Drosophila melanogaster: one gene and its partners. The protein of the gene in region 3 interacts with the protein of the main gene of each other region in a pairwise test. Each region holds a gene or a part of one and is shown on either strand. Other genes may lie near its edges.

Region 1 (7,843 bases), on a different chromosome or scaffold from region 3:
CGGGCGCATTGTCATTGGGCCCTGACTGGAACGCCTGTCCAGAATCGGGGCGTCGATGTGTTCGCCCTGCTGCGGTTTGTAAATGTACCAAACTTTCAGGACCTCCAGCAGTGGAAAAAGAACCTAAACGAAAGCATGCTCGGACATCGCCGACTTAACTTTATAATAAAACCACTAATGCTGCGCAGGACAAAGCAAAAGCTACAGGCATCTGGCGACATGCCTGCGCTGCCTTCCCTTAAGATTGAACTTATATGCGTACAGCTATCGAAAACTGAAATGGCCGTGTACCAGATCCTGTCTGCCATATCCAAAAAAATCTTTACACAGTTCCTGCTCCAACGCGAGAAGGGCAACAGTGATTTAAATTATTACTCTCTGGAAAGAACCCCACAGTTTATAGCCGGACATATGTCCGACGAAAGGTACAACGAGATCTACGAAAGATTCCTTAAGTCGCTTGGCTACAATCCAGGGGAAAAGATCCTTGGTATCTATATCCTGGTGCTACTGCTGCGGCTACGACAGTTTTGTTGCCATCCGGGACTAATGATTGGGGTAAATATATACATATTTTACTTTATCACCCCACATAATCATACTCAACATCTTTCGTTAGATGCTGCGTGGTGCTTTGACCGCCGAGGACGTCCAGAACGTGAAGGTGGATGCCTCAGACGTGGAGGGCCAGCTCAAGATGGATGTCCTTGCCGAGTTGGATAAGTTTGACGAAACCGATAGCGAAGATGACTGTTGTGACGAGGAGGACAGTACTAGAAGAGATGGCAATTTCAAGTTGGAAGTGATAAAAGATGAAATTAAGGAGGAGAATGTGCCATGGGATTCTGGTGATGACCTGCCAACGGCCAGTTCTTTTGAGGATCAACTAGATAGTGCCAGAGCTCTTAAACTGCTCAATCCCCAGAATCCCATCTTTCAGTTCATACGCCCTTCTGCCAAACTAAAGATGGTCATTGATAAGCTAGAGGAACTGCTCACAGGCACCAACGACAAAATCATTGTTACATCTCAGTGGGTAAGCTATCTCGCAATCGTCCGTAAAAGACTGCAGGATCTATCATGGGAAACACTTGACTTTAATGGCCAGCTGACCGCCAAAGAACGCGAGATTGTACTGCGAGACTTTAACGCGAATAACGAGAAGCGCGTTCTTCTACTCTCCCTCACCGCTGGCGGAGTGGGACTGAATCTGAACGTGGCCAATCATATGCTAATTGTGGACCTCCACTGGAACCCGCAGCTGGAGCGACAGGCTCAGGACCGCATTTATCGATATGGTCAAACTAAGCCTACCTTCATCTACCGCTACATGTGCCAGGACACTGTAGAGCAACGAATTAAGTCCCTGCAAGATTGCAAGCTAGAAATTGCGAAAGTTGTGCTTCCAGAGGAAGGAGGAGAAGTGACCAAATGTGTTGGCGGTGGTCTCAACCTCGCGGAGCTAAAGAAACTCTTCGAGATGTGAGTCGAAGTATTTTAGTTAGTTTTAAGAAGATTATGTTTTTTTTTGTTTAAATTGTTCGCATACAAAAGCTTTACAATTTCACCAAAGTGTTTTTTAACGGATTGAATTCGTTTACAATTGTGTATTAATACTACACAGACTACCTTTAACGTTATACGTTACATTTGATATAGTCGCACGTCCATAAAGCATAAAGCATATATATTCCCTTTTTTTCTATATTAAGAACAAAACGTACTAATAATAAAGCATACTAGTTGTTTTCATGATGTATGGATCATTCTTTTTGTCTATTTTTCCTTTTGTTCTCGCAAAACCACAACAAAGCTAAAAGAAAAAAGTTTGAAGCTCTAAAGATATATAAGAAGGCATTAAGTAGCATGTGGTAGCAATCAATCGATTGTTTAATTATTTTCAGTATAATAATGTATTGTGAAATATACAATTAAAAGGAAATTTCAATAATATAAATTTAGAGCTTATTCTCAGTATATTTGAGTTTCTGTGAAATATATAATTAAAACGAAACTTAAATAATATTAATTTTGAGCTTATGAAAGTAACAAAAGAATCATATTTAAGAAAATTCAAAGTAAGAATCAACAACAGAAGTTTAGACCTGCGGTCATTATAATTATAATGAATAATAAATCGTTTATATTCCTTTCACATATATTAATCTGCTTAATTCAATGGTTGTTTTCCAAGAGTATAACCGGTAGTCACCCGTTTGGACATGATCTTCTCCTACATCGCTATTACGTTGTTGCTGTGAATGCGTTTTTTGTGCTTTCGCAAGTAGTTAACATCTACAAATACCAATGAGCAAAATTCGCAACGAAACAGATCTCCCATGTGACCACGCTCGTGCCTTTTGAGATGTTTTTCTGTTTTGAACTCCTCGGAACAATAGGTACATTTTTTAAGATGATGTTGGCGATTGTGAGTAAGCATATGCCGCTTCAAGGCGTAGACACTACTGAACTTCTTTTGGCAAATATCGCATATCGGTTTCCTGTTGTTAAATAAATAGAAGCAAATGATATTAGTTGATTCGCCTCGACTATCAGATACCCGTTAATCAGCTAGTAAAAGTGCGAGGGTTTTCTATTTCTATAAATTTTACTAAATCTTAGGGATTTAGCTCCTATAGTTAACGGGATCACGGCGTTCTTACGGACACGCAGACGGACGGACAGACTATTGATCCTGTGCAAGATTATTATTTCCTTCTACTAGTAAACCTTTTTATTACTTATCGTGTAACGGGTATACAATTTTAAAGTTTGGTTAAAGTTTGATTATTCAAATTTTCTTCGGCGAAATGGCTATCGCCAAAAATTTAAGTAAAAGAATAAATGAAAACAATAACTTAATGTCCGTTTGTTGGCTTTTTAAAGGTCTGAAACAAACTCAAAACCTTAATTTTCTAGATTTTTAATTCCAGAGATCTCTGCGGACAGACAGACGGAAAAATAGACGAACGGACGGACTGATGAGAACTTATGAACTCGGCTAGTGGTTCCGATTAAGAATATAAAGGGGTCAGATACGCTACCTTCGCTCGTCACAAATTTCTCAGCGGTACTAGGGTATAAGTATAACTATCAGGTATAACTATATTACATAAGACTGGTGGAGTTCCAAACTCACGGCTTTAGCATAGGTGGAATGCTGCACGTGCCATTGAAGGTGTTCTTAGTCCACTTTGGTTTTAGATCCTGCGCTTGATCGCTGTCGTCCGAGTCAGGATCCTTCGTGGACTCCGATTTTGAAGAGCCCGGCCTTTGTTTGTGCTCTCTGCGATGGATTTCCAGCTGAACGTGTTCGATAAATACCGCTGAGCACTGGCTGCAGGAGAGCGGACCGTCACTGTCGTGGGTGCGCAGGTGCCTTTTAAGGTGATCTTTACGCATGAAAGCCTTCGAGCAGTGGAAACACTTGTGCGCTGGCTTGCTTAGGTGGTTTCGCAAATGCCGCTTGAGGTTCGATTTTTGCATATAAGTGCGTGGGCAGTAGGGACACCTGTTGCACAGATCGGTGATGTGGGTCCTTAACTGGGTCTGGGAACAAAATCGCTTAGAACAGTGCGGGCAGTTGTAGTAGCCATCGGCATCGCAGATCATTTTGGTACTTCTGAAAATCGGGAATATAATTATTTAAGCTTATTTAAGTTATTTTTAATTATTCATATAAAAGTATAAGTAATCAAAGATGTACCTTCAAATTTTTATAATTTTTCAATTATTTGTCTATCTTGAGGCTTGATATTTATAACAAATTGCATTACCTTGTAGCTTCCTTTGGGATCATGTCTGCCTGTTCTTCTGTGCGACAAGTCCGCTTACGAGGATGCAGGGTGAAGGACTCCGGTGGGCCATCAATATTTCCCTCTTGGAGCTTCGCTTGGAGTGTTTGTTTTTGACTAAGATCATCATCTGGTTTCTGCGTTTTTGTCATTTGCTGCGTATCCTGTTGACGATCGCTTTTGAGCTGCATTTTCTGGTTTATTATCTGGTTCTTATCCCCATTACATGCAGCTAAGTGCACTTGGTTTTCCGGAGCACCCGACTGGTTTAGGACGCGGAAGAAGTGCTGGTAGCTCTGCTCGCTTTGCCACTTGAACCGGAAAGCATTCTGCACGGCCAGGACGCAGGAAACGCATATGAACTGCGGCAGCAGGTCGCCGCGTTTCACTGGACGTTCGGTACACCTGGCCAGGATGTGCGAGAGGCTCATCTCCGGTTCGTCGAGCACAGGATCCCTTACATTGGCGAATATATCTACCAGGGTGCCGGTCTCGTCCATACAAGTCCGGCACACGTTCTTCGCGCTGTGCATCATCTAAATCAACAACCAAATGCAATGTTTTTTAATAAAAGAACAGTTTACGACATCTTATGAATTGACCATTGACATTGGCCTTGTTTTGCAAACTAATAATCCCGTTTCGCTGGTTTTACAGTTATTGCTGGTAAATTATATGAATAAACGGCACATTTTTTAAAGAGTTCAATTGATTTCTCATTCTACACAAGTGTAAGTGTTCACTTTTTGGAGAATTGGATGATAACTGGAACTGCAAAGAAACCAACCGTCGCACTGATCATTTGTACATTTTTTTTAGTGCTGAATAATACATGTACACATGGAAAACAATTATTCAGAATAAAAAAAATTGAGATTGATATGATATGAAAAAATATGTATATATGTATATATATGTATATATGTATGTATATTTGTATTAATAACACAAATATTTTTCAGGCAAGCTGGCTTTCATTGTAATTTAATTACGATTTGGTGTTCTATTTATTTTGGGAATAGAGTACTAGTATTTACACAAAACATCTGATGATTCATTTATGAAATAAAAATTCAATATTTTCAATAGAAGCTCTACACAGCAAATAAAAGCTTTTGATGAAAATATGTTTAACCCGCCGCTAAAATTTTAAAATCAATCCAATTACATTAATTCTGCATTACAATATAAACCCAAGCTTTATTGATTAAAACCATACTGTGCGTAATATATACATTTCAGTTTCTTACAATTTAAATATCTAGTAAAAAAAATTCGCTAATTGACAGTACTATATAACTGAAACAGGTTGGCAGCCCGAAGGCAACAGCTGATTCGCTTTATGAATGCGGAAAATTTGTCTGTGTGTTTATGAATATTATGCCGATCAATGGAACGAGGAATAGTTATGTGAGTGGCTACGCGGCAATCACAACATACGTACTCTGTAGAAAACCCCGCTTGACTCCTTGCCAGACTCGATAAATTGGCCCGCAGCGCTTTGCGGTTGCACAGAATACCGCAAATCAACCGCCCATTGGCCCCTGATATTCATTTCAAGCGCCAGCACAGCAGATCTGGGTCAGATTGCAAGGAAATCTGGGAAATGCTGAGCCAACTGCCTCTGTTCGCTGGGGGCGAGATTGTTCGGGGCTTCGGACGCGGCTCCAAAGAGCTGGGCATCCCAACAGGTTGGTGGCGACGTTAGGCGAATTGCGAAGGTCATTTCTAATTGATAACCAAACCACTTGTTAGCTAACTTTCCGCTGGAGGTGGTGAAATCGCTGCCGGAATCCCTGCCCACTGGCGCGTACTACGGTTGGGCAAACGTGGATAATGGACCCGTGCACAAGATGGTCCTCAGCATCGGCTGGAATCCCTTCTACAACAACAAGGAGAAGAGCGTGGAGACGCACATGCTACACGACTTTAACTGTGACCTTTACGGCCAGACACTCAAGATATGCATTGTAGGCTACCTGCGACCGGAGCGCAGTTTCGACTCCCTGGAGTCACTGATTGCCGCCATCCGCGGGGACATCGAGCAGGCCAAGGCGTTCCTCGACGAGGCGGACAAGGCCAAGCTGAAGGAGGCTCCGTTCTTTACGGAGAAGCTCTGCTCGTCGAAATAGCGATGGCGTAGGTCAGTCTGGAAAAGGAGGCTTTGCTGAAGGACGCACTACTACTCTTCGCACGGCTTTGAAATAGTTATTCCATCAGTTATCTTATCTCTCAATTTGCGCGATGTGCAAAGCGGAATTCGAATATCGAATCAAGTACTTAAGCTAAACGTTTTCATTAAATTCCTACTGCTCATAATGACACCAACAAATTGAACCAATCGCATTTCAGTTTGATACTTATCAAATGTATAAAAGAAACCGTTTTTGTAAAAATGTTCCTACTGTGAATTTTTTCTAATATATTTATCTCTTAGTGGCGTTTTTATTGAGGGATTGCAGTGAACTTATTTTCAATTGTTATACATATGTAGTTAATTATTATTTATTTATTTCACGAAACATTTTTTATATTTCTGGTTTTAATTGCCTACGTGTTAAAAAAAAAACTGTTAAATATTATATATACGAACATACACATACAATTTTTAATTAATTTTAATTGCGCAAAATAACTTTAATTCAATTTAAAGCTTATTATTTAGTTTGATTGCGTATATTTTATATAAACGAATAAAATCAAATTATAATGTGTATATTGTTTTGTGTACTAAATTACAAATTAGGTAAAATTCCAATTTGAAAATACAGACTATAGAATGCTATCGATCCATCAGCACACCGCACTATCGATATCAGCGACCGATCGATATTGGGCTTGATCTCGACCGATTCGGGAAAAACTGAGCTGCGCGTGCGAGCGTGCGAGGATTTTTCTTGTATAAAACCGTTGCGTAAATCAGCAGGTAAATCAGATCGGCGTCAACTGCGCCACTGCCTGCAATCAGTTGCCTTCAACCAGCATATTGTACCGATTTTTCAGCAGCAACATGTCAGCGCCACAGCAACAACAACAGTCGCAGCAGAAGCAACAACAACATGTGCGCGTGGTCGAGCAACAACAGGTGGAACCAGCTGAGGCGGTGACCTCCAGCATGGAATCGGAATCCATCTCGGCCAGCAAGGAGCTAACCGGTTTGACGCACGAGTGCGGCGTTTTCGGGGCAATCGCTTGCGGAGATTGGCCCACCCAAATGGACATTGCACACGTGATCTGTTTGGGGCTGGTGGCACTGCAGCATCGTGGGCAGGAGTCTGCGGGCATAGCGACCAGCGAGGGAAAGTGCTCCAAGAACTTCAACGTGCACAAGGGCATGGGTATGATCAGCACCCTGTTCAACGACGACTCCATGAAGAAGCTTCGTGGCAACCTGGGCATCGGTCATACACGCTACTCGACCGCTGGCGGATCCGGAGTGGTTAACTGTCAGCCCTTTGAGGTACATACGACACATGGAGCATTGGCCCTGGCCCACAATGGTGAGCTTGTTAACAACGAATCTCTAAGAAGGGAGGTTTTGGCCAGAGGCGTGGGCTTATCCACGCACAGCGACAGTGAGTTGATCGCCCAGTCGTTGTGCTGCGCCCCGGAGGATGTTTCCGAACTGGATGGACCCAACTGGCCAGCTAGGATCAGGCATTTCATGATGCTGGCGCCACTCTCCTACTCGCTGGTCATCATGCTAAAGGACAAAATCTACGCCGTGAGGGACACCTATGGAAATAGGCCGCTATGCATTGGCAAGATAGTGCCCATCAATGCTGGGCACGGAAATAACTTAGACACACCTGCCGATGGTTGGGTGGTGTCCAGTGAGAGCTGTGGCTTCCTGTCGATCGGTGCCAGATACGTCCGCGAAGTGGAGCCTGGAGAGATAGTGGAGCTGTCGCGAAGTGGCTACCGCACGGTGGACATTGTGGAAAGACCCGACTTCAAGCGCATGGCCTTTTGTATATTTGAGTACGTTTACTTCGCCCGCGGAGACAGCATCTTCGAGGGTCAGATGGTGTACACAGTGAGGCTGCAGT
Region 2 (6,138 bases), on a different chromosome or scaffold from region 3:
AACTCAATGGTGAACGTTTTTGAGTGTTGCCATTTCAGCGCTTCAATTTTGATTACATTTTATCAAATTTGTTTGAGACTAGCTGTGGAAATTTAATATTCATAGATCTAGAGATCTAGAGAGATGTGGATGAATTTAAATTAACGATACATTTATTTATTTATTATATTATTTTTGAATGGGAAATGTAGACTTCTTTCAATGAAGTCCTTTTAAAAATAAAATTCTAATTAGTAAAAAATTCAAAAGAAATGGGAAAAAGTAGGCCAGGCATGTAACTTTATGTAGCAATAATTGCTCCAACAACTCGGATTTATTTGTTAGGTATAAGAAAATATTAATACAGTTTTTAAGCAAGCTTATTTCGTATACAAGATTTAAATAAAATTTATAAGTAAACTAAACTAAAACTAGATTAGGGTAGGCATTTTCCATTAATATAGGTGGAAATAGGGAATATGAAATCCCATTTTCTGGCATTCTAAATACGTGGCTCTTACTGCATATCAGAAAGTACAATTAAAATCGACTAACAATATATATAAAAAAATACTTAAGATATCGGTCCAATCATCAGATCGATCGATCTGATCTTTTGGGATGAGTACACGTTGTGCTATAAATATTTCATTTTTTAGAAGTTGACTTCTTGTGACCCAAATAGGAAATTGAAAAACAGATTCTTTTATATACATTCATTATTTTTTATTATTTAGTAGCTCTACAATTTTGACTTTTGACTTGGCCAAAACGGATTTAGGGCAGTTAAAGCAATATTAAAATCATGGTATTCCACTTCGAACCACTTAGGAGGCAACGGGAAGATGGGCACCCTGGGGCTGGAATCCGTTCTCATCGGCGATGTAGTTGACTTCGTAGGTCTGGCCATCATCGGCAACGAAGCGGAAGGATCCCTGGACAGCAAGGGACTCGTGGTCGGTGTTAGGGTACTTCAACTGTCCCTTAGCGTTAGCCGCCTGGCCATCGCTGGTCTCGAAGCTAATACGAAGGTCCAGAATCAGTTAGGCATTTTTATGAGGACCCTGTCAGTCTACTTACGACCACTGAAAGTTTTCGGGTCCAACATCGGATTCCAAGTTAATAATTTGCGCTTCGTTAGCCAAAGCAAAAGCGAAGATTGCTACAAAGACGATCAGGAATTTCATGTTGAATTTGGGCTGGTTTGGAGATCTCGAAGAGTTCGATGCGAATGATATCGACGGAGTGCAGGATGAACACTTTTATATTTGACTTGCAATCTAATCCACGACACTGTCAAACCTAAAATCTTGCATATCTCATTAAATGGACTCGCATTTTGGAAATCGCAAAACTATAATGGGATGCTTCATCGGGTTTTTCGAATTAATGTCCCTGCACATACATTTCGCATCGTATCAAGCTGGAATGACATGAAATAAATAGTCGTCAGGCAAGATAGTTCTACTAATTGGCTAGTTCACCACTAACAATGGCCATAAAATTAAACAATTCTTAGACAAATTCAAATGTGTAGCACTTCTTATTGTTCAACTTCATTTTCACATCCCTTCCTAATATAACAATCGGAAAATAGCAATGAGTTCAGTTCGATCGATTCGCATACGTATATTTAGAACTTCATTGAGCATACCAGCCAATAGTTCTGTACATCAACGACAATAAGTATGTAAATCAAGTGTGTTCAACTTAAAATTGGGCATGGAAACTACGTCAGCGCTCTGTTAGCTTAAAGATCGATCAATGCGTCCAATCGTTTCATTCCAAAACTAGTTTGATCATTGTAGCTTTTTATTTCATGCATATTAATTTGGCCGTTTGGCTCTCTGTGCGCTGTATGTTGTTTTTGGAAGGTATCTTCCAAATTTCATTAGCATCGCATGAAATTTAAATCAACGCCTGAAATTAACCTTCAAAACTTCGTTTTCATTTGTGGCCAGATCCCTCGCACATTTTTCAATATGCGCCACTTTAATTATGTATTAATTACAAAGACAACAAAAACCCAAACATGTTTGGCTGTGCCAAAAATTTGCAAGTTTCTGCCAACCGAAGGCCGTCCAGGCAAAGTCGCCAGACGAGACGAGCCAAGACGAGACACACACCGCATTTCGACGTTCAACGTTGCGTATGGAAAATGTGAAGAGAACAGGCACCCTGTTCTTCCATCTCTTGCGTCATACTTTTCTTTTCATTGATATAGCCCTACCATAAATATTAAATTTAGCATAGGGAACGTCTTTTGATCCGGGTTGAACGGACGATCTAACTCATTTCACTTTATGATCGCAAAAAATCCAAACAGACTAGCTGAAGACTGGCATTTGATTGTGATAATTTAATAATCAAACAATACGATTCAGCTATTTATGTATTGATATCGACTATGTTATTATAATGAAATATGATCATTGGAGCAAACATTAAAATACTTTAGAACCCTGATATTTTTACAATATAAAGAAATACTGCTTTCGATACTGACTACACAAAGAGGAAATACTTAGTTGTGGGGCAGATGATCGCCCTGGGGCTGGAAACCGTTCTCATCCGCAATGTAGTGCAGGGTGTAGGTCTGGCCATCGGGAGCAACCCAGCTGACGGAACCGCGCACACTGAGCGCCTCCTGGTCGGTACCGGCGTTCTTCACCTCAGCCTGCTCCTGGCGGGTAACTCCATCACTGGTCTCGTAGCTGAAATCAAGATAGTTAACTCTTTTGAATGGGTTCTTCTTTTCGAAAGGCGAGAGTACACAAAAGTTTCAATCCTTGGAAATATCCCGTGCATTGTCCTTGCTACTCACCCGAAGTTGTAGCCATCAGTGCCAATGTTGTCGTTGTCGTATCTTAGTATGGTGGCATGTTGGGAGTCGTCCAGAGGAGCAGCCCTAATGGTGGAGAGCAGAGCGAAGGCGCAAATGGCCAGGACACAGATGCTGGAGGACTGCATGTTTAGTTGGATTGGATTCTGGTAGAGACTTTTCAAAAGGTCCTGGCTAAGTTTGGTTTTTAGTGCACGCTCCGGTAGTTATCACAATTAGGCACTAACGAGTAATGTGGCTAACTGTAATGAGTGTTGAGCTATTTATAACTGGCCGGGCCAAAACTCCAAGTGCTGCGAGTCCAACACACACACTCATTTACACACACTTATGTGATCCGTAAAGTTTAGGTGGCCCATAACAAACACCTCAAATGCTAACACAATTATCTACCCATACGCATATAATTGAAGGCAACTGTATGGCAGCGTGAGTAGCTTAAGCTTTTAATTGAACAAGCCAAAAAAATAATTTAAAGACCATTAAGCGTTTGATGTGCGCTCGAATCTCATCTCAATTGCCACGCCACGGGAGCTGAAAGTTAAATCGGAGCTGAAGATGATGGAGCAAGTGATAATGAAATGTTTGGGCCCCCCAACAAAAAACAAATATTTGGTCAATGCGCGTGTTTGCCTACAAGTAGACAAGCAGGCATATATACATTTGGATCTATGGCAATAGGTCAATGGCTATGTTTGCACTTATCAACAAATTGTGATGAAAAAGATTATCGAAGATGAAACAAAGCAAAATGGGTTGGAAATTAAATCCCCAAGAGAAGTGAGCAGTGAGGAAGTGAATAAAACTCAACCACTTAAAATATGTTTAGGAAACTAAGCAAAGAACGGGAAGAAGAATTCAATTCATGGAATCTAGGAATTCCCATGATCTTGAGATTTAATTGCCATCATATAAACACTTAATCTCCGCTTTTTCAGCTGATATTTCCTCATAAATGTAATTCTTGAATTATCCGACTGCAAAGCTGCAAATTTTTTTTGGGGAATATTGAAGCATTTCCGCCCTGACGTCTGTTAACTGCTGACACAATTTCCGATTAAGACAGGGCGATTTAACCTCCAAAAATCTTGAAACGAATCGAATCGAAAAGAAACGAAAACCTCCACCGCCATTGCTTGTCAGCTGCATTTGCTGTTTAAGTGAAGATGCGGCACGAGAGATTCAAGATTACGCGGCTCATCATCGTCGTTTCCATCTCCATAGTCAGCAGCCCGAGTGTTGGTTGATGACCTTAGTCAATAAAATACCAGCTAACCAGACAACAAAAGCCAATACCAAGCTCAGCCGACTAAGGCTGGGCTATGTATGCCCTACAATACCACAATACATCGGGGCGTATGCGTAATGTCACTGCTGGTCATTTTCGGGCATTATAAATCATTCAGAAATCTGTGACTGGTACACAGCAAGAAGTAGTCTAATGGCATAATTGCATACAGAATCACTTTATAATTTGTTTAGACTAAACTTTTTAAGAGACCTTGTTCCTTTAATATATGTAAATACATACTTAAAGTCATACAAAAATATAAACATAATTTTTATGTATTTCATATTGCAAATATTGCAATACCACATTTTTTAAGATACTTTTTTTAACAGAGCTTATAAATTCGCCCAAAAATATATGTGTACTATTTTTGCGGCCGTGTAAAATAATATGTCTAGGCTGGGAGAGGACCGATTATTTTGCATTTACGATTTTTTCGGCCGTGTAAAATAATATGTCTAGGCTGGGAAAGGACCGATTATTTTGCATTTACGATTGATAAATGAGAGGAGCTTAGGTTAATTGCCTTAAAATGCCCTTTTTTACCCGGAATTCTCACTTTCGTTGGCAGCATTGTGGCTTCATTAATTGTGTTTCGCTTTTTGGCAACCTTTGTTGGGTGCTTTTTGGCGTTTATTGAACCGGTTTGGTCAGCTCCCGCAGATTGAAGATCAGAGATCGGGGGATCGGAGAGTGCAGCTAGTCGATTACCGCACACAATTCAGGCGCGAAGAGCAAACGGGTTTTGGAAGATACAAATGTATATATGCTAATTTCCTGCCTAGAATACAATTCAATTTCGATGGGTGAAAATTTATGCCCAGCCATATAGATATATATACACCTGTGTCTGTATTTTATTATTATGTATTTCATTTCTATTGTCTACCCGCCTACTTTAGCTATTCGGTGGTTTTGCGTGTGCTTATTCTTTTTCTTATCAACAAAGTCCAAACCTATCACGTGATGAGTGCTCTACCTGGGGAAGATGTTCGCCCTGAGCCTGAAAACCGTTCTCATCGGCCAGATAGTTCAGCTTATAGTGAATACCATCAGGTCCCACCCAATGGACGCTGCCCTGGATGGCGATTGCCTCCTCGGGAGTGCCAGGATTTTTCAGAGTGGCCCTCTCCTCACGCGAGATACCATCGCTTGTCTCGAATCTACGGGGAGACGTGTGTAAGCAACTTATTCCAAACTTGGTATTGACCCTGAACCACCTACTTACGAGAAGGCATAGCCATCGCTATCCATGTTTTCATTGTCGTATCTCAGTATCTGGGCAGTATCGGTGGCATTTGAGGAACACGCGCAGAAGCTGACCAGGATTAGGCCGAAAAGCAGTGTTAAGCCGGCCATTTGTCAACTGTCCTTTGGCGATCCGCTTATGCGACTAATTCAGATTGCGCAAAGGCCGTTCAATATATCCCCCTGCAATCCATACTAAGCCCAATACAAACTCCGGCTAATTAACGGAGTGTGTAATAAGATGCGAATTTCCAAATGACTCGAGCGGTAGCCAAAAAGCTGGCAAATCAAGTCGAAATGAAATTGAAAGCAAACGATTTGCGGCGAAGACGCTCCAAAAAGTTCAAATGGTGTTGCCTTAACCCTCTAAATTCGCTTCAGGCGATAATTGTCCACATATTTCTAACACTTCAGCCATATATAAAGTTCCAAATGTTATTTACATATATAGATTTTTTTATTCTTTTTAAAACTTGTTGACTATAAAATTTCATTTAAAAAGCTCAAATGTCAGGAATATTTGTGTAAAATTCTATCAGAATTCTAGTTTTTTGCAAGTTCGAAAAATGTGTTCTCCATAAGTCTTAATTTTTGTGATCTAGCACAAAAAATGTCAAACTTCTTCTGTAAAAACGTAGAGAAATACTATAAAAAGCAAGCCACTTTTTAAAACTTTTGAAAAACTGTGTCCGAGGGACATTGAAATTGGAAATGGCAAAAGCTTTTTATTAGGCCGAGCATTTCATTTCGCCTGCACTTGAGCCCAATTTCGATGTGA
Region 3 (10,184 bases):
ATTCATTTCTGACATGTAGCGTTACACTTCCTTTAAAGTTCCACTTTGCGATAGCTTCTATTTATTGAATTATTTCTACCACTCATGTACGCCAATATTTCTCTACGTGTAGTGTCGAGTCCGCCGACAACACAACCGCCGCCCACAACCACAACGCTGCGGCGGACGACAACAACCGCGGCGGAAATCGCACTGGACGGCTACATCAACACGCCCCTGAATGGCAATGGCATTGGCATTGTGGGCGAAGGACCCACAAATTCGGTGATTGCGTCCGGCAAATGTGAGTAGTGCCCAAAAAATGCATAGGATGTTGATGTTGGCAGAACAAATGAACACGTTGCACTTTTCATTATCAATTGCAGCGAGCATTAAATACCTATCGAATCTGAACGAGATCGACAAGTCGAAGCAGAAGCTGACGGGCAGCAGTCCCAAGGGATTCGATTGGTCCAAGGGCAAGAGCAGCGGGAGTCATGGCAACCTAATGGCGTCCAGTTGGCCCCTCATCTGCTGCATCCTCGCACTGCTGACGACACACTCGTGTGGTTGAGAACTATGTGCGATTCCATTTTAATAAAGTGCCATTACAAACAGTCGAAATGAAAGGTGTTCGAAGCCGATGCATACGATTAGCCATAACAACTGTGTAATTAATTAAGCGAATTGCAATTTGCAAACGTTAACGAAGTCAAGCTTTGGTTTTCCCCGAAACTCCCTATGCAGCCCATTAATATTTGATTACGTTTGGTGGCGAAAACCACAGCGTGTTTTTAGGCAAACAAAGTTACCAAATTAATCAACCTCGCATATTTGTTTACCATTCGTTCGGAAGCACTCTAAAATATTTTCTAAAAATTCGTTTGGTTTTAAAACCACTATACCATCGGTGAGGGTATGCGAAGAATGTTGTAAAAAGCATTTCGGCAGGGCCAAAGCAAACATGCGATGCAAACCAAAGCACATAAATCCTGGTTAGTTAGATATAAAATCAATTAATTTGCATAAATACAAGTGGGAAAAAATAGTATACCCTTCGAATGATGCCAAATTGTTAAAAAGAGAGCACTACTCACTCACCTCCAACTGTAAATAAGCGCGTATATGCATGGATAAAACCCCAAATGCAATTGTAAATTATGTACTCGTTATAGGCACTAGAAATGAATGTTCATTTGTACGAGAGTAGGCATCAAACCATTTCAAAACTAGATATTTAACGGGAAAGCGAAAGGCTTAAATACTCTGAAAAACAGGCACCTAAAATGCATTAATCAAAAACCATTAACCTAAATAAGTAACTAAGCAAATATGAATTACGAATATTCACGATTGAAGCGAAAACTGTTGATACATAATTTAGTTAGCTGATCAGTTAAGACGGGTTTACAGTTGAGAAATAATCCAAATAAAGCCAAATCCAAATATGTAAGTTCTAAACTACTCATACAGAAATACATATATATATATATATTTAAATACCTACATATATCATAGGCCTTAGTTTGTGTTTCTTAACGATAAGAGTGATAATGTATATTTATTAACTTGCTCCCCGAGCGGAACAAACTGGCACTGCGAAAGAAACAAATAAAATATCTATGTATTTGGGATTGCTTCTTAAAACTTAAGCGACTTTTATTTCAGTAATCTGTGGTTCTTGATATTGACCAGTGGTACTTGTGCAAAAATATAACTATTATTTTTTATTTGAAAGTCAAAAGAATGTCGACGGGACTTTTATTTTATGTTGAACAAGTAACCATTTATTGCATTAATAGTTAGTACTTTTCTCTGATACCATGTTTGCGCAGCACTTTTGCACGTGAAATTGTTATTGAACCGAACCCAGCAACTCCTTTTGGCCCCAAACGGATTCCCTTGGCCACTGGATGTGCACTAACATGGTATCCTTGGCCAGGAATGTCTGAAGTTGATGCAACAGGAGCATTTGCTTGATGAGAGCAAGAAAAAGAAACCATGTGCTTGCAGGAAACGTGATGCTTGCCAGACTCCTACGTGTCTGCAGGATAGCAAGGAGCTATGCCCTCCAGAACCCCTGATTTTGTTGGACTCTGCATGCCCAAGGAAATACACTGAATGGCTTTAACTTTTCTCTTTAAAGTTTATTATCTAAAATCTTTGTAACATTATATGTTAATGTCTAGGAACTAATTGTTTATAAAATCTTAAAATAAAGTCAGATCCCGATGAGGTAGCACCATCGCTCAGACCTCCACGGCCCTCCGGTCCATCAGGGTGTCGAGAATCTTGTCCATGTGCTCGCTGCAGTTGGCCAGGCACACATCCGCATACTCGCTGAGGAAGTACATGAAGCTCTCGAGCTGCTCCATCGAGCAGCCGCGGAAGCCATCGTCGCGTCCAATGTTGTCAATGGCCCGGATGATGGAGCGCAGCTTGTGGACATATTGCGGCGTGTTGCGGCAGTGCTCCAGCGAAGAGTCGGCCAGATTCGCGGGCTTGGCGTAGCCACGAATGCGCTGCTCCACACTGCGAAGTTTGGACTGCTGCTGCTTGAGGGTCTGCATCATTTGCGGCACGGACATGGCGGGTGTGGCGGCAGAGGGAGGAGCCTTGGCAAACAGCTCGTCCAGGGGAACCGCCTCGTAGTCCAGGGAGAAGAGATCAGGCGAAAAGGACAGCCTACCACTGTTGTTGCCGAAGCTATCGGACTCGAACTCCGTCTGATCCAGGTCGCTGGTCTTGATCGCCTGGTTGGCACTGATGCTGCTGTTGGGCCAGGAGTACTTGCTGCGACCCTCCAGGCCATTGCTGGCACCTGTCTGCAGACCCACCAGTATGCTGTAGCTGCTCTCGATGGAATACTTCTGGGTGGTGGGCCAGAACTCAGGCACGCTGCTGAACTCAATGTGGTCAACGCCGAAGCGCAACTCCGACTGCTCTCCGCTGAGGAAGGCAAACAGCCGCTCGATCTTCTCGCTGGACATCAGTTTTCCGCTGAAGGGCACTGCGAGATCTCCGCTGGCGAACCAATAGTGAGAGCAGCCCTTCACACTGGGTGGACGCTCGGGCAGCGACTGTCGGACGGAGTCGGAACTGGGAGCTCCGCGAATGAACTTGTGTCCGTCGATTCCGAAGGCCAGGTCACGAGTCTCCCAGCTTTTCTGGGTGAAGATTTCGTACAGCAGTCGCAGGCGCTCCGGGCTGTTCTTGAAGATTTCCAGGGAGACTGTGAAGTCCCCAGAGGTGATCCAGAACATTGAGTGCGCCTTGCCGGTCGGACTCTCATCCTGGGAGTTATCAATTTCAACAGTCGGGGCATTGGCGAAGAACTCCCGCTCACTGCACGGTGTGGAGGGTGAGCTGGAGGTGGCGTCCAGATCGAGCGGATGATCCTCCCGGATCACTTGCATGGCCAGGGAACTGCGACGAGGGCGCTCCTGGATGAGAATCGGACTGAACAGTTGTTGTTGCGCCGGACTGGAAGCATGGCGTCCCTTAACTGGCGTGGAAAAACCGGATGGCTTCGATTCCGTGGCTCCAAGCGAAGATCGGCGTATCGGACTGTTGTCCATCGGATCGTTCGAGCATGTCTCAAAGCCCTGATCCACGAAACTGTCCCGCATGGCCTGTACCAGGGATTGCCTTGGTGTCTGACTAGGAGACTGATCGCTGTCTGCATTCGGCGAGGGAGATGACATCACGGTGAGGGTGTATGCCGACTTGATCTTCCGGGGCGAGTTCAAGTGGCGCATCAGTGACTTATCCAACTCAATGAAACTTGGCTCGGGCATTGGAAGTGGGTTACAGATAGCACCGGACTTCTTCTTGGCCGCTCCTGATAGCGGAGGCTTGTAATCTGAATCGGAGTCCGTTGAGGTTATTGCAGTGGCCTCGACAATGGAGTTCTCCTTTTTCCATGTAAGAGTTCGGCGCATTTTCTTCTTGCGTGGCGGACGCTGGGGCTTGGCAAAATCAAATTCACCTGTCTGCAAGTCATCCTTGGGCGTCTCTGGCTGGGATTCGTCGCTGGTTATCTGTGATAGAAAATTAAGAACAATGAGTCAACATTCATGAATCCACTTATTAAAGATATCACTTACCTTGGGGAGTGTAGACAACCCGGATTCACTTTCCTCAGCCTCGGATTGCTTGCAGCTGGATGCACTGGAGGTAACTTGACTTAGACTGGGTCGTGGGGCTGGCACTGGCGGCGCCTGGCGCTTAATGCGTCGCGGAGTGACTTGAACGATGGGATCCTGAGCTGTATCCATCTCCTTCTTTTCCTCGACTTGTGTCTCCTTCTTGGACTCGTTATCTAGCTCTAATTTTGCGATGGCCTCCTCCAGAAGCCGCTCGACGGCGGACTTTTGGCTCACATCCTCCAGAGTAGCGGTGCTCGGCTCAAGTAGCGGTTGCTCCAGAAGATTACCCTCCTCGGTGGCTATCTCAATGGTCTGCTGACCGTCAGACACACTCGTAATGTCGAACTGGACACCGTTCTCCGAGCTGAGCCAGCTGTAGAACAGGGTTTCGAGGTGTTCGTTCTGAAAAAACATTTGGCTATCCGCACCGGTGCGCTCCTGTCGAGTGCGTCGGATTTTCTTTGGTGGCGCATAGGCCTCCGTTGGCATCATGGTGCGAATCGCGGCGAGGTTTCGCTTCTGGGATGGCTCTCGGGCATGTTCATCGCTCTGACGATCCAGGCATCGGCGGGGTCGTGGCTGTGGAGCTCTGCGCTCTGGACTTGGCTTGAGGATCACAGTCAGGGTGCTCACATGCAGCTGGGAGGTGCATGTCTCCGTTTTGCTCTCAGTCGTCTTGGGGGGAGAGACACCACCTGGTCGCGGTGGCGATCCCGGCTCCAGGATACATTTCGCTTCCAACTCCTGGGCGAGATGCTTAACACTGGCTTGTCGTTCAGCCACCACCTCCCCTCGTGCCACCTGTTTGTTTACCTTCTCCTTGAGATCTGCGGCATGTGCAGTGAACTTGGGGTGCTTGGCTGCCATGTCACCGATGAACTTGTTGAACAGCAGGGCTTTGTCCTTCACGCTCAACTCGCGGAAAACTTCCTCGGCCACCAGGCAGGGTCCTTGAACTGGGGACTCTAATGGCGACACCAGGCGGTTCTGTGCCTTAACCTCCGGCGACATCTCATTTTGCAGCTGAACATACTGTGGTTCCTCTGTACGTCGCATCACCTGGCTGATCTTGGAGTTAAACAGCTGGGCCATCTCCTTGACCTTCATGGGCAGCGACGCGGATACCTTTCTGGAAGCCTGATATGCAGAGCGTGGCGTCTCCATCTCCGGCAGCTGTTCGTATTTCTGCTTGAGCTCGCTGATCTTTAGGTGGCCACTACCCACTTTTGGCTTGGGCGGCGTGACCGGATCCGACTGGAGGGCCAACTTGGCAATTGTGCTGGCCACTTTACCCGTGTTACCCGCTGCCTTGGTGGTACCCAGTGTCTTTGTTGGCGTCACAGGTACCTCTTCGTCGAAGTACTTCATCAGATTCTCGATGCTGGACAAGTCCAGGTCGGTAACCTGCACTCGGCGCGGTGATGCAAACGAGTTTTGGTACTCCAGGGCGGTCAGGAAGCGATCATCATCCAGCGAGGAAATCTCGAAGAGTTCCTCCCTGGTCATCGTAGCTCGGAGCAGGCCACAGGCGGTGCTGGCATCTCCGTGGCGGCTGGAGCGACGACGTTCCTCGATCTCCGCGTTCAGCTGCAGTAGCTCGCTGAGATCATCACTGTTCATGGCTGCCGTGTCCACTACCATCTGGTTGTGCTTGGACTGGTTGTTCGGCGTGGAATTGCTTAGGACCATTTTGGTATTAGTTTGCTGTCTTGTTGTTGACGTTAGACGTTTCAGTTTGTAACTGTGGCTTTCTGGCATTTTGCTAATAGCTTATATACAATGATCAGGTAAAATATGGATTGGGTGCAGATTTTATTGCCCACCCACTGCCTCAGATTTTCCTTAATCCAACTAGCAGCGATCAGGTAAGATTAACAGCCGCAGCTGTCGGATCGATGGATTTTCCTCGCGCTAACCGATATTTAATTATTTTCGCGAACCTTTCCGCTATAAATATATATCCAGGTGACCTGAAACAAAGAAAACAGGTAGGTAATATTAGGGCTGTGCAATAGATGTAAAATGTAAGGTTCTGGAAAGAAGGGATAACCGAGGATTCACTCGAAAGACAGCTGACGGAAAGTCCTTAAAATTTAAATTCCAATTATTGCAGTAACTCAGCGAAATCAACTCCCAGCATCATCATTATACTGCAACCGAACGAATTTTCCGAGAAAAATGCGAATGTTAACAAGACCCAGGCGAATTGCAGCCACAATAAAAATCACACACTGAAAATTCTTCATCTGACTATTGCTGAAATTTGGAGCGAAAACGAACCGAATTCAGGACCCCAGGGATAAGCAGAACTTTGCTTGCAGTTTGCCACAAAGTGACTTTCACACCGACAGAGCCATAAAATGAAATCAGGGGCTGAGATTTGCGGATGCTCAGGTGGCAGAGCTGGAGCTGATGAGTTACAGAGCTACAATGATAAGTTCCATAATGGGATACATCTTTTAACTGCCTGATATTTAACGATTTTATCTTTAATTTTTGGTTTTAATGCGCTTTTTTACTTTTAGCAAAACGGAGTGCCTATTTTTTTATCACAAAGCTGAAGTTGTTTACATGGGAAGGGTATACTTTCCAAATATTCCAAATTTTCAAGACAAAAGCGTTCTCTAACCCTTTTTTGGGCTTTCTAAAACAGGCCGGCTATTTATATAAATTAGTTAACTTACTTTGTTAAGGATTTCCTTGTTGAACTATGATCTACTTTAGGCAACACAGTATTTAACACGCACAACTTCATAAACAAATTACAAATTAATTTTGTAAACAAAAGACCGCGAAAAAGCGTGGTTATTTGCGCCAAATAACATAGTACATTTACATCGATCTAAGGGCTCATTTGCCGGCTTTACGGAATATCACAGCTGATAATAAAGCCAATCACCACGAATTAAGAATCAGCTGATTGAATCAGCATCAAAGCTCAGTGCTTTTTAAACCGTAAACTAATCTAGACTTTAAATATCATCATGGGCTCAAGAAAATGATTAGAATGTCAATAACTTATATTCTAGGCAGACCAGTGAAGATATGAGAATTCGATGGCTATTAACGGCCAAAACGGCTTACAACTCAATGATACGATAAATTCAAACGGATTGCTCCCGTGGCCTGAATTCTATCAGACGTGCCTTTATTGGTATCTGAATATATTGCTATTTAAGCCAAAAGAGGCACACCAAAATCATTCAGATGGACAGTAGTTGGTCAGTTGGCAAATACCCCAAATGACAAACAAAGCAATCCCCGAAATACCATTCGACGGTGAAAAACATTTACAAACATTGTGGTCGCCAACAGCAGCGGCAAAAATTTAGTGGGTGCTTTATGATAAACTCATGTGGCTGGCGTTCCATATCCAACTGGAATGGACGGGGACGCAGTGGTTCCACTTGCTAAGTAGCCACCGCTTCTGTCGGCGACACCGGAACGCGAATATTTGGTTTCAGATTTTGGGCACTCAATGCAGGGCCATGCAATTTTGAAAATCTGAGCGGCGGCATGTACCCCGCTTTATCAGTGCGGGTTAATTAGACACTACCAGTTCTGTAATGTTGGCAATTATTTCATTGCCGCAAAATCCGTTTACTCGCATAACATGCCCACAATCGGTCTGAATGACGATGCGCGACTTGTAATTTCATCAGCCCTATCAGTCCGTCCGTCCGTCTGTCAGTCTGTCTGTCTGTCTGTCTTCCAGTGCGCCACCTTCGCTGGCAAATCAATCAATTCCGCACAGACCCACATACATACATACATACTTACTCCGCCGAGCGAGCGCACGTGACATGGAACCCCGAGTGGCGGGCAAGACCGCCGGAATCCGGGGGTCAAGGAACGAACCTCAGCCGAGCCGAGTGGAGCACCGCCGTGGCGATCAGAAGCAGCGAGTTTGTTGCTGGCTTCCGACTAACACCACACCATTCGCAATTCGCTGCTCCGATTGCGTCACTCGGCTTTCCGCGTTCCGCTGGCCAAGCGGTTTATTTTAAAACTAATTATAAGCCAGCCCAAATATAATGCACAGCCGCTTTGAATTACATGAATGAATGAAATTCAGCACTGATAAGCCGTTCGACGGAAAGAGGAACTGCTGGCCATATCGCAATAGCCCACACTCAGCATAATGTAGCCGCGTTGGATGAGCTCTGGAATTCAGACTGCTAAAGATGTGTTTATCCTTTACATTTTGCTGACTCACAAGAAACTAGAAAATAATCTGAAACATACCAAATTGGAACCGCAGAATATTGATTTAGATGACTGAGCCCCACACCCCATTTCACATGAGTAGCTCGAGTGTCTCGAGGCATACGTTCTTTATCGCAGAATCAATTCAAGTTTCCCGTTTCTAGTCCATTTGTGGGGCAAAGACAAACGTACGGTCGCCCATTCATCGGAAACAACCACGATTTGGGGCTGACCGCTGTTTGACACGCGGCTCACGCGCTATCATCCCGGCAGGTTGTTAATGGCCCATTAATGCGGTTGCCAGGCGAAACCGACCGCTTGCCACGCGCCTTCAAGACCCACGCGGCGTATGAGCGATTTGCGCGACGACCTTCAACAAGTTGCACAGTGCAACCACCGACTTGGGGCCGGGATTTGGAATCTAAGTCGGATTCTGGATGGTCGTCGCCCTCTGGGCTGCCGTCTGCTCCGCGCAGGATGGGTGTTAATTAGCAAATAAATAAAAGCACGCCGGGTAACACATACGCACCGTGGGCAAGCAAGGAAAAGCACACGTGAGCTCTTCGGCAGAGGAAATCGGCAAAAGTTCAAGGTGCACAAACAGAGTCGAAACATTTTGTACTTTTAAAAAGGTTCTCGCTCACACTGTTAAATATTTCGACTGAAGGAAGCATCCCATTTTCTTTATTTCCTCTGCGTAGGTGTGAGTACCTACCCCCCTATTTTTTCAGTGCCTGACAGCGAACATCCTGGAAGGGCATCTACTGCTCACCGATGTCTTGTCTATCACGTTGCACACGTAATTGAAAATTAACTCAGTCCGTGTCGGAAAATCCGCCCGACAGATGCGAACCGCATACGCAATTGCTAAGCATAGAAGTTTATTCACAATACTTGGGTTCCTAATTAAAGCTATACACCGACTAGCAGTGGGAGTCACCGACCGTCTCTGGGCATCCCTCACCAGAAGGGACACTGGTCCGCGCTGGTCATTCCGGAGCCAACATGGCACCGGAACACCTCTGCGAACTGCGGCACCTGGCCGAGGGCGTAGTTCAGCCGCTGGCTGCCGGAGTCATGGTACTGGTCGCCCTCGTCGCCGCAGAAGAAGTGGGCGAACTGGAGGAAGTACAGACGCCCGTTGCCCGACCGAGTGAGCCAGTCGCCACCGTAGGTTTGCATGGCCAGCCGGGATCCGCTGACGTCGGAGGTGCGCTCGTTTAGCATAACAGCGCTGCTGTTCAGGCATCCAACCGCTCCGTTGTAGAGCTCCACTTCGCCCAACTGGTCGCTAAAGTTACGCAGATTACCCTGCGCATCGTAGTCCACCAGATCGGTGTCGAAGGCGTGCATGATCTCGTGGCCCAGGGTGTTGGCCAGATCACCGTAGAGCAGCGCTGGCCAGAAGTTGGCATCGAAGAAGGGACGCTTTACGTAGGAGTACGGCACGAAGATGATGTTGCCCAGGCAGTAGAAGTACGGCGTGGCATCGATGTTGTCGGGAAACTCGGGCGTATGCATATTGAAGCTGTACCAGATGTCCCGCTCCTCCTGGTCCGAGCTGCTTTCCAAATCGGCGACGAGCGTGTAGTAGTAGAGCAGGCTGTTCAGGTGATTCTCGTAGAAGTCCCTGCCCACGCTCCACCGCCGGTCGCTGTCCCAATAGAATTGCTCCGTCACATTGGGCGGTAGGTTGCCCACATTGATGCGCATCTGGTGCACCTTTGCCTGCAGCGATTTCACCAGATCCTGACTTAGATTGAAGGCGTTGTGCTGGACCCGCAGCTCCAGCTGACTCTGCAGCTGCTGGAAGACGCTGTGGATGACCAGCTCATCCGCGTGGCGGCGCCG
Region 4 (9,031 bases), about 15 Mb from region 3:
CCGTCCACTCAAATTAAATGCACTGCGGAAGCGTCCTTGAGAGAGAGAGAGCGGTGAATATTCTCATATGTACAACTGTTAGAGCACGAAAGTGTGTGCTTACCTGCATATGGCTGTACCGCACATTTATTGCCGTAATGGAACTGTTCAATGACAACATAAAAAACAAAAACATTATAAATATCAAATGTTGCCTAACCACTACAGATAAGTTGGTTATCATATTGAAATTGTTCTGTTAAAACTCGTGATCCTTTTTTGCAGCATTCGACACCATAGTAGACCACGGTAACTGTAATCAGAAAATTTCGTCCGCTCTCTCGCTGCTCTCTACCCCACCGCTGCCTCTTTCTCTTCATATGACTACCTCTTCATTTCCCCATTGAGAAATATTCGACTGACAAACTAAGTAACACACACCTCTCGTCCCTTTTCTTGTGGAAAATCACTTTCTTGTCTAGGTATGCGCGTACATGTGTTTCTCCTCTTTGTGTGAGTTAGGCTCAGTTTCTCAAGGCTTGTTTAAATGCTCTATTTGATTTCATTTGTATAACAGCTCGCGAGCGTGTGTACCCTCTGCCTATTGCAACAAACCCTCGTTTGCTTTAAATTTGTATCCCAGTAACTAACAGCTCCAGCATATAAGTCCAAGATATTTGGAAGTTATTGATAACCGTCCGCCTTGATTACTTCCTTAACATACGTTTGCTATGCTGGTTATTTGCTTTTTCGATGTGTTAAATTTTTTCTGCTAGCAAGTTTGCACGCAAGACACCGAGCAATATCCTTCGACTAAACTAAGCCGCCCCGATAAACTTGACTGATTGTCGATTTCAGCCTCACCAGCAAGGACCTCCGTTATTTCATGTTTAAACGCTCAGAGGTCGAACGAGAGCAAGCTTTTTCGGCTGAAAGCTCGTTTTTGCGCATGCGATCGAAGCAATGCACTGATAACGGTACAGCTGGGCTATCCTGATAAGAGTCCCTTTGCACAATAGCGTATTCAGAATATTACCGGAAGAGCATAAAGTTAATTAAATCTCATTAAGGTCTCCCGCCAATAGGCAACCACTGACCGATGAAGAAAACGTCATGAATGCAGCTGACCTTAAAATGAGTGCAGCTGCTATTTGACAGCGCCTGTGTGAGTGTGTCGGGGTGGACTGCACTATGGGAAACCTAACCACTTTTTCTGGCCAAAATTAATAACTTCAGAACGGAGAAATTTATTAGGAAAAAATTCGACAAAATTTAAAAATTGTTCAAAAGTGTGGACGTGGCCGGTTTCGCGGCTTTAAAAATGCTTATGTATGGCAATTTATATTTTTATCGAATTTTGGGTTGAACATTTTTTTTGCTTTTGCCACTCACTTACTCATAATGCAAGCCACACTGATTAAATGCCTTACAGAATGTAAATAACGCTTCAGAAAAAAATTGGTTAATTTTTCATAGTAGAGTTCTGTTGCATTTATTGATGTCCACTAAACATAGTATACAAACATGAGTAAGAGATATTTACGTTATACTTTTTATACATTAGTAAGTAATTTGGGGACCAAAGAATTTTATTCAGAATAAAAAAAAGGCATTTCCAAGTCTATTTTTCTAAATGTTATTTTTTAAATACCACAAATTATGAATTTAGTAAATAGATCCGTTGATTTTTTTCCTTAAAAAAATCTACTGATTTCAAATCAAAGCCCGCCTCAACGATGTAAAAAAACTAGTAACGATGACACCTTTACTGCTCTGAAATCATCTTTTGTGATGAAAATATAATTTTGTTCTGTTCAAGAATATAGGTATCTTCATTGATATGTACGTGCTTATCTACGTATATAATTCTTTGCTGCGAACTTAGACATTAGAGCATAACTGATTTGAATTCAATCTTTTTTGTGCGTTCAAGGGGATTTCAAAATGGTTGAGAATATTAACCTTAGACCAGTAGTGCCCAATTTCCTGCGTCGCGGAAAAATCTGTTTTCTTTAATTATTGGTCGATATATCGCCTTAGAATATCGTGTCGAAAGTTTCAAAAGCTAATTCTCGAAATTTTGGGAGATGCCCTTCGGATTTCGGAAGTCATACTTTCCTTGACGGCAATCTTTAAACCATGTTTGGTTCTATATGAAGTAAAGACTTTTCAATACAAACGAATGCCTCGTTCCTATAATTATATTTTAGAAACAAGAAACAACCCCAAAGCAAGGCTAAATGGAATAAACCCAAAATTTTACAGACGATGAAATCGAAAACCCGAAACAAATCACCCACCTGTAAAGCAAACATCCGTTGTCCAATTTTATTAAATCAGCATGTTTTCACGTTCCAAGCCGACACTCACAAGCTCGAAAGCAAAAGTTTGAATTTCAATAAATAAAATCTTAAAAATCTAATAGCGCTTGTATCCAAGAGCGAATGCACTTCACTCCAAAAGCCAAAGACACTAGATTATTCTAGTGTCTTTGCAAAAGCCCATTAAAATTTTACAGCCCAAAGTCCATATTAAAAAAGCTCGAGACCGAGGATTGATCGTCAATCAATATAGATCAATAAGTGGAGTTTAGCATGAGACCTAAAATTAAATGTTGACTTATGAAAATTGAAAACTTGTAATTATATGTATGTATAATAGCGTCTATGTTCTTCGGCAATGGAATCTCAGTCCTAGTGTATTGTTTTCCTTGCCAATAGCCTAAAATATTGTAAAATTTTAGTGAAGCAGAAAATTTACCAGCTGCCTGGTAGCGCACTCTAATTCTTTTTTCTATTATACCGATCAAGGGACGCAGACAAGGCCACTATACATATGTATGTATGTACGTACTTATGCGTGCATATCTGACTACCTGAAAATGTTTTCAGAGGGGTGAGGATTATTTCCGTCGGTTTTATGTGTTTGATTACATACATATGACATATCTTTAAGATATTATTTTTAAGATCTTGTAGACTGTGTAATTTACAAGGAAATTGATTGATGTAATTTAATAAAAAGCTTGAATTTTTTAAAAATGACGATATGTGTATATATATATATATGAACATACATGTTTGTGTGTTTGTTTATTTAATTTTTAGGAGTACCGGATCAAAAAAAAAACTTAGAATTGGGAAGGTGTATTACACGAAAAATCACTCAGGTCAATGAGAAAAACAAGGATAGGAATGCATTTGAATATTTTACCTGCTATATTTGTGTAGCCGCTAAATAATAGTTAAAAGGTGGCAGCCCTTTTTAGGGGACCGTTATTTTGAAATATTTGTCACTGCTATATTTCATCTCTTTAATATATTAAAATAAAATTGTAAAAATCTATCAGCATAAGCTAACTCCGAATTAAATAGAGAACGGGTGATAACGATAACAAACAAAGATATGTTTTCCGGAGGCGGAACTATCGCAAGCGGACTACCGACGTCTACCAACACTACAGGGCGGCGCTTTAAAAGCCGGTCCGACGCTCACCGCTCTCTCATTCGGCGTTTTTCTTTGTGACTGTGTGGACGTTCTTAATTGTACGGCAAAATCTCCAGCAACCAAGCTACTTTCTTAGCAAAGCTACTAAAGAGGAAACTATATTGATAAAATTTCGTTCTTTTAAAATCTTTGTGCTGATATTTAAGGCGTGCTTGGTGATCCAAAAACCCTCAGTTACAACGTGTTTTCTCGCTTCGCGTTTGAAAAGTAATATCTAACAGTAATTCAAAATGGCTGATGTGGCTGAGCAAAAGAAGTGAGTACTTTGCTTGCCTTGTTTTCGGACGTTTGTGGATTTTGTTTAAGCAATGGACTTGTAGCGAATTTTGCTAATGAAAATCTATGTTATTTGCCGAAAAGATTTGGAAATTTTCTTTTGAATTCTGTGTCTATATACGCAAACCGCTTGTTGGCACTAATGTAGTTGTCTCGTTCCCGCCAAAGGCAAAACGGTGTGCGCGCAAAAACCGACGCCGTTTAATTTGGCGCGGCGTCATGGTGCCTTCTCGCTCTTTCTCCGGCCGGCAAACAGCAACGATGAATTATTTGTGTGTGTGTGTGTAGCGGCGGAGTAATGCGTTGAGTGTATGCGGACGACAGGCCAAATGCGCAAAAGTCTATAGACATGTGTGTGTGTATGCGTGTGCAGCATTCAAGTTGCCGCTCTTTTCTTGTGCTGTTTCATTTCATCTGTCTGTGCTACCTCGTATGTTGCTTTGCTGCGTTTCTCACCAGACATCAAATTTCGAGGCTTGCCTTTTATACCCATTTGATAGCTTAAAGCTCGAAGCTTGAAATTAACAGTATAAATTTTCACGCATATCTATATTGGCATTACCAAAAATACTCCCTCTTTCCCTATCGATGAACACTTATGTATATATTTTTTTTAAGTAGTTATTATATGTTGCAGCTTATAATACATAACAAAACAAAACTCATGCCTAAGGCTGTTCCGGTTTTCTTTGAAAGACGCAGGTTGTATGACGTTATGCTACTGTTTGTATCGTTTGGACCGTTATTTTTGTCGTTTAGCGTTGCTACTTTGCAACTCTCTTTTTGTTCGCCCTATAGAATTCTATCTACCTCAGATGGCGAGTATCTGTTGGTAGATGAGTGCGAGAGAAACGACTATATTGTCATTAATCCCATTAAAACTGGTTTTTATTTCTATCTTTGTTCGTTTTAGTTTAAACGGGTCTCGCTTTTCATTTTGCACGTCTGCAAGCGTGTTTTTGGTTCTACCCTGTTCTCATCTGTTGGTAGAGAGCACTGAAATAACAAATGAATATATGCCATTTATATGAAAAAGAGCGTGCCGCCTAATCGCACTCACCTTTTCGCGCTTCCTTTTGCGTCGCAGCTTGCACGAGTTGTTGATCCCATTTTTGAAAAACGCCGGCAGATGTAACAATGCACTTTTTTTTTAGTTTTAATTCCGAACGTCCTGGGGCTCTTATGAATAGAAAGTGGAGGATGAAAACATAAACGTTACCTACCGGCGCTATATTGAAATTTTTCTTTTTTTTTTTTAAATTCAATTAATATTTAATTAATTAATAATTAATAGTTTTAGTTTTTGATAATTTTTAATTGATTTACTGTTTAGAGTTTTGTATGTAGTAGAATGCTATGCATACGAAGTTCAGTTCGGCCACCTTCGGAAAAAATTATAAGTGCATACTGACTTTCGTCTCTGATTATCACCCACAGTGAGACCCCTGTTGTCGAGAAGGTCGCAGCTGAGGAAGTTGATGCTGTGAAGAAAGATGCAGTTGCCGCCGAGGAGGTAGCAGCTGAGAAGGCGAGCATCACAGAAAACGGTGGCGCCGAAGAGGAGAGCGTAGCCAAGGAGAACGGAGCCGCCGACAGCAGCGCGACCGAGCCCACCGACGCAGTCGATGGTGAAAAGGCGTCTGAGCCCACTGTTTCTTTTGCCGCCGATAAGGATGAGAAGAAGGACGAGGATAAAAAAGAGGATTCCGCTGCCGATGGGGAGGACACCAAAAAAGAGAGCAGCGAAGCTGTTCTACCTGCTGTCGAGAATGGCTCCGAGGAGGTCACCAACGGTGACTCAACAGGTATGATGATATCAATGATATCAATGCCAAACAAATTTTCCACGTTCATGTTCTTATTGTTCAATTTTTATTATCGCCTTACAGATGCTCCCGCCATTGAGGCTGTAAAGCGGAAGGTGGATGAGGCTGCAGCCAAGGCAGATGAGGCCGTCGCCACGCCGGAGAAAAAGGCTAAGCTTGATGAGGCCAGCACAAAGGATGAGGTTCAGAATGGGGCCGAGGCTAGCGAAGTGGCCGCCTAAGGGAATCGCCCGCGGAGCAGCAAACTCAGTAATCTACTTATTAAATACTTACTAACACAAAAAAAGCAAATCACAGAAATTACGGTTCTACCGCCAGGAACCCGGACTGTATCCATTTTCCGCTCTTGTGAGCGGGTGATACGTGGGTGGCTGCTTGGGTGGCGGGCGCAATTCTCCAATAACAATCCGGCAATGGGAGCGTAGTTTTATAGCGTACCGGTTCTCTCTCTCTCTACTAACAAACAACCTACCAACCAACAATACCGGCAACAAACGAAAACAAAAAATCCATTATTATTTAAAAACTTACTTAAAATCTTAACTTTAAAGCAAAGTATATATATATATAAAGCGAAGGATTAAGAGAACAATATTAAGCGAAATTAAGATGCGAGACCCTCTATGTTTTAAGAATAAAAGTTGTAAACAAAAGCGTCAAATTTAATAATTGTAAAAAAAAATACGAAGCGAATGAAACAAATTGCAAACAAAATCTTTAAGTAAGAAAAACATCAAAACAATTACGGCAAAATAACATATGTAATCCTTTACAATTTTTAATTTTACAACCGTATCTTATTTTTGAGTATGAATATTTATATCGAACAAAGTAAAACTAAAAATTCAGTAAAATGTAACAAAAAGCTGCCAGCAACAACCCCAGAAAAATGTATGCCAACCGGCTAAAAAAATACTACCACATAGAAACAATAAAAAGTACGAAAAACAACTTTTACAGCAATACTCTGAAATGTTTATTTTTAAAATGCTTTCGAAATCGTACCTTTTTTATTTGTAATCAAGGTACCACCTATTTCACATTCCCAATTACATTTTATTTACTTGTCTAAGCCTACGAAATAGTCTGCGACGAAACTCTCATTAATGTTCAATGTTTAACAACGATTTAATGGGCAGGAAAGGTAATGGCCAGTAAATCCAGCATTCAGCAAAATCAAGATTCGAGATTATTAAAAAATAAAATGAAACGTAAAAATTAAAATCAAACTGTAAGCGTAACTTTTATTAATTTGAGCATGTTTGTATTCGCACAAATAACAGCTGTCGCCAATAGTAGAAATTATTATTTTCTTGGTAGGGTGCGGTCCAAGTACATATTAGTGGAAAGTAAACTATTTTAGGTAATATGATTTCGACACAGAACGTTACAAATAGTATTACTATTTTGCCTACGGTAAGTTGTTTTTTTTTTTGTATTTTTGGACTTTCGTTTAATTTTAATCAGAAAATTTAATATTTGATAATCTCTTGACTCATGACATTATATCCCATATATTTACGTCAATTAAGAAGCCTGTAAAACAAACACGGCAAATCTACAGTTCACACTTTAGCTAAAATTACATGAAGAATAAACTCCGCAAAATTTTATTTCATTTCATTTATTTCACGCTTAATGACATCCAATTTTTTTTTATTTTAACCTTAACAATAATAAGAGTACAGGCCAATAATTAAACCTTATCTACTTAGATATTAATATCAATATGAATAATATGATAATGAAAATATTATACCGATTGGGAAAAAAATTTTATGTAATTGAAAAAAAATCTAAGCACTTAAAAAAGGCTATTATCTAAAAATTACAATTAAGGTGGATAGGTCAAATCATTTATATGCTGGTGCACAGCCTCTTGACATTTAATAGAGAAATTTTGGGACAATCTTATTAATCTATTATAAACCACTTCAATATTGGCTCGGTTATGTAAATGAGCTGTTGAGTGATGCCAAGGGTGATTAAAGATTAGTTTTAATATTTTGTTTTGTCTGATTTGTAGCAGGTTAATGTGACATTTGGCCATTTCTGACCATACTGGAGCACCGTAAAAAGATAGTGCTTGGAAGATTGACCTGAACAGAACATTTTGTTTTCAATGTTTTATCTGGAATTTATGTTTATAAATGGATAAAGCGAGCAGATAATGGCTTTAAGTTGTTCGATTGTGTCACTTATGTGATCTTTGAATTTTAGCCTATTGTCTAACGTGATAGATACCCAAGTATTTGACAGTTGTTTCCCAGTTGTTTCTGCAAAATTAATTTCGATAAATCTCTGGGAAGTGTTCCATCTTCCAATCCTTCTGGATACCAATTTATACTAGTCTTTACCCTATTTTACCCTTTATCCGTAGACAAGATTATTTGAAAAGATTTTATCAGGTAACGTTTTTTTTTTTATTTTTTGTCAGAATCAATAGTCTAGCCAAAAAAAATAAATGCCAAAAATCTTTATCAAAGGTGTGGGCGCGCGATTTTTTGTCGGCTTGTAGGAGTGGAAATCTTTTTAAACATGATTGATTTTATTCATAAGTTTGCAACGCAGGTAAGAAAATATTTACGTACTCATATTATTAAGCATGTATTTTATAAGATATTTTGTCGGCCGTATGAACGTCGAGATTTCAGGAACTATAAAAGCTGCGTTGAGATTAAGCATACAGATTCTAGAGACACAGACGCAGCGCAAGTTTGGTTTGTCTTGCCAATTTCTAGACTATAGCATTCTCTGTTGTTTTTATGTTCAATTTATTTTCCTTCGCAGAGCATATTGTCATGCCCACAGTTTCGACATTTTTTTGGGGTCTTTTTATTTCACTGCTTGTTTTGTTAATTTCTATCAGTAATGCTGCGTTAATCGTAGCAAATCGTGGCCAAATCTTTTGATTTCGTTTTTAAGTCTGCTCTGGTTTTTGCAAAATGTTTGCTATTGGAATGTTTTGTAAACAGAAAACAGCTATTTAACTGTTTTCCAAACAATAGAGCAGCCACCTTCCTTACAGTTTTAATTCCGTTGTTCGCAATTACTTTTTTACTGGACATTGTCCATTTATGTAATTAAATTAAATAGCATTATTTACGATCAGCACGTTTGTCCCTCCTTTAAATTTATTAATGAATTCTTTTATATATTATACAAGTGTTTTACTTGCCTTATTCGTTTCACCAACAGTACGGCAACCTTCGCGATAACTTTTGGTGACGTCTTAATCGAAAATTGTTGCCGACGGCAAAATATCGTATGTCAAATCTGAGGTCAGAAAAAATTTTTCTAAAATAACTAAATGTCAGAATAATCTTGTAATGGTGTGGAATAAACATCAATAGACCACGTATTTCCCCTTAGTAAATAAAATCCTATTTGATAGAAAACAGGCATTTACTTTTCATTACGGCCATTCAAAAGTGCCCGTTTTA

What was found.
Region 1: the proteins of slam (region 3) and kipf interact in a two-hybrid assay, tested with the Drosophila melanogaster proteins (one large-scale study listed by BioGRID).
Region 2: the proteins of slam (region 3) and Cpr65Av interact in a two-hybrid assay, tested with the Drosophila melanogaster proteins (one large-scale study listed by BioGRID).
Region 4: the proteins of slam (region 3) and Df31 interact in a two-hybrid assay, tested with the Drosophila melanogaster proteins (one large-scale study listed by BioGRID).

Annotation. Positions count from the first base shown.
Region 1 is NT_033777.3:7,910,571-7,918,413, reverse strand, and holds kipf (kipferl), read right to left. Parts: upstream 4,564-7,843; 5' UTR 4,331-4,563; coding exon 3,777-4,330; intron 3,623-3,776; coding exon 3,140-3,622; coding exon of another isoform or gene 3,136-3,139; exon of another isoform or gene 3,045-3,135; intron 2,502-3,044; coding exon 2,234-2,501; 3' UTR 1,961-2,233; downstream 1-1,960. Other genes in the region: CG10445 (uncharacterized protein), read left to right, coding at 1-558, 620-1,486; Rfk (riboflavin kinase), read left to right, coding at 5,401-5,485, 5,550-5,926; Prat (phosphoribosylamidotransferase), read left to right, coding at 6,805-7,843. UniProt on the Drosophila melanogaster protein: DNA-binding zinc finger protein that recruits chromo domain protein rhino/rhi to specific chromatin regions enriched in H3K9me2/3 histone methylation, mediating piRNA (piwi-interacting RNA) biogenesis.
Region 2 is NT_037436.4:6,136,913-6,143,050, forward strand, and holds Cpr65Av (cuticular protein 65Av), read right to left. Parts: upstream 3,063-6,138; 5' UTR 2,950-3,062; coding exon 2,804-2,949; intron 2,694-2,803; coding exon 2,504-2,693; 3' UTR 2,311-2,503; downstream 1-2,310. Other genes in the region: Lcp65Ae, read right to left, coding at 807-999, 1,060-1,166; Cpr65Aw (cuticular protein 65Aw), read right to left, coding at 5,053-5,275, 5,341-5,471.
Region 3 is NT_033779.5:6,369,209-6,379,392, reverse strand, and holds slam (slow as molasses), read right to left. Parts: upstream 7,006-10,184; 5' UTR 6,812-7,005; intron 6,098-6,811; 5' UTR 5,817-6,097; coding exon 4,086-5,816; intron 4,020-4,085; coding exon 2,229-4,019; 3' UTR 2,109-2,228; downstream 1-2,108. Other genes in the region: DIP-epsilon (Dpr-interacting protein epsilon), read left to right, coding at 113-283, 366-553; Nepl4 (Neprilysin-like 4), read right to left, coding at 9,294-10,184.
Region 4 is NT_033779.5:21,624,378-21,633,408, reverse strand, and holds Df31 (decondensation factor 31), read left to right. Parts: upstream 1-3,476; 5' UTR 3,477-3,716; coding exon 3,717-3,742; intron 3,743-4,432; exon of another isoform or gene 4,433-4,758; intron 4,759-4,822; exon of another isoform or gene 4,823-4,947; intron 4,948-5,199; coding exon 5,200-5,567; intron 5,568-5,651; coding exon 5,652-5,809; 3' UTR 5,810-7,100; downstream 7,101-9,031.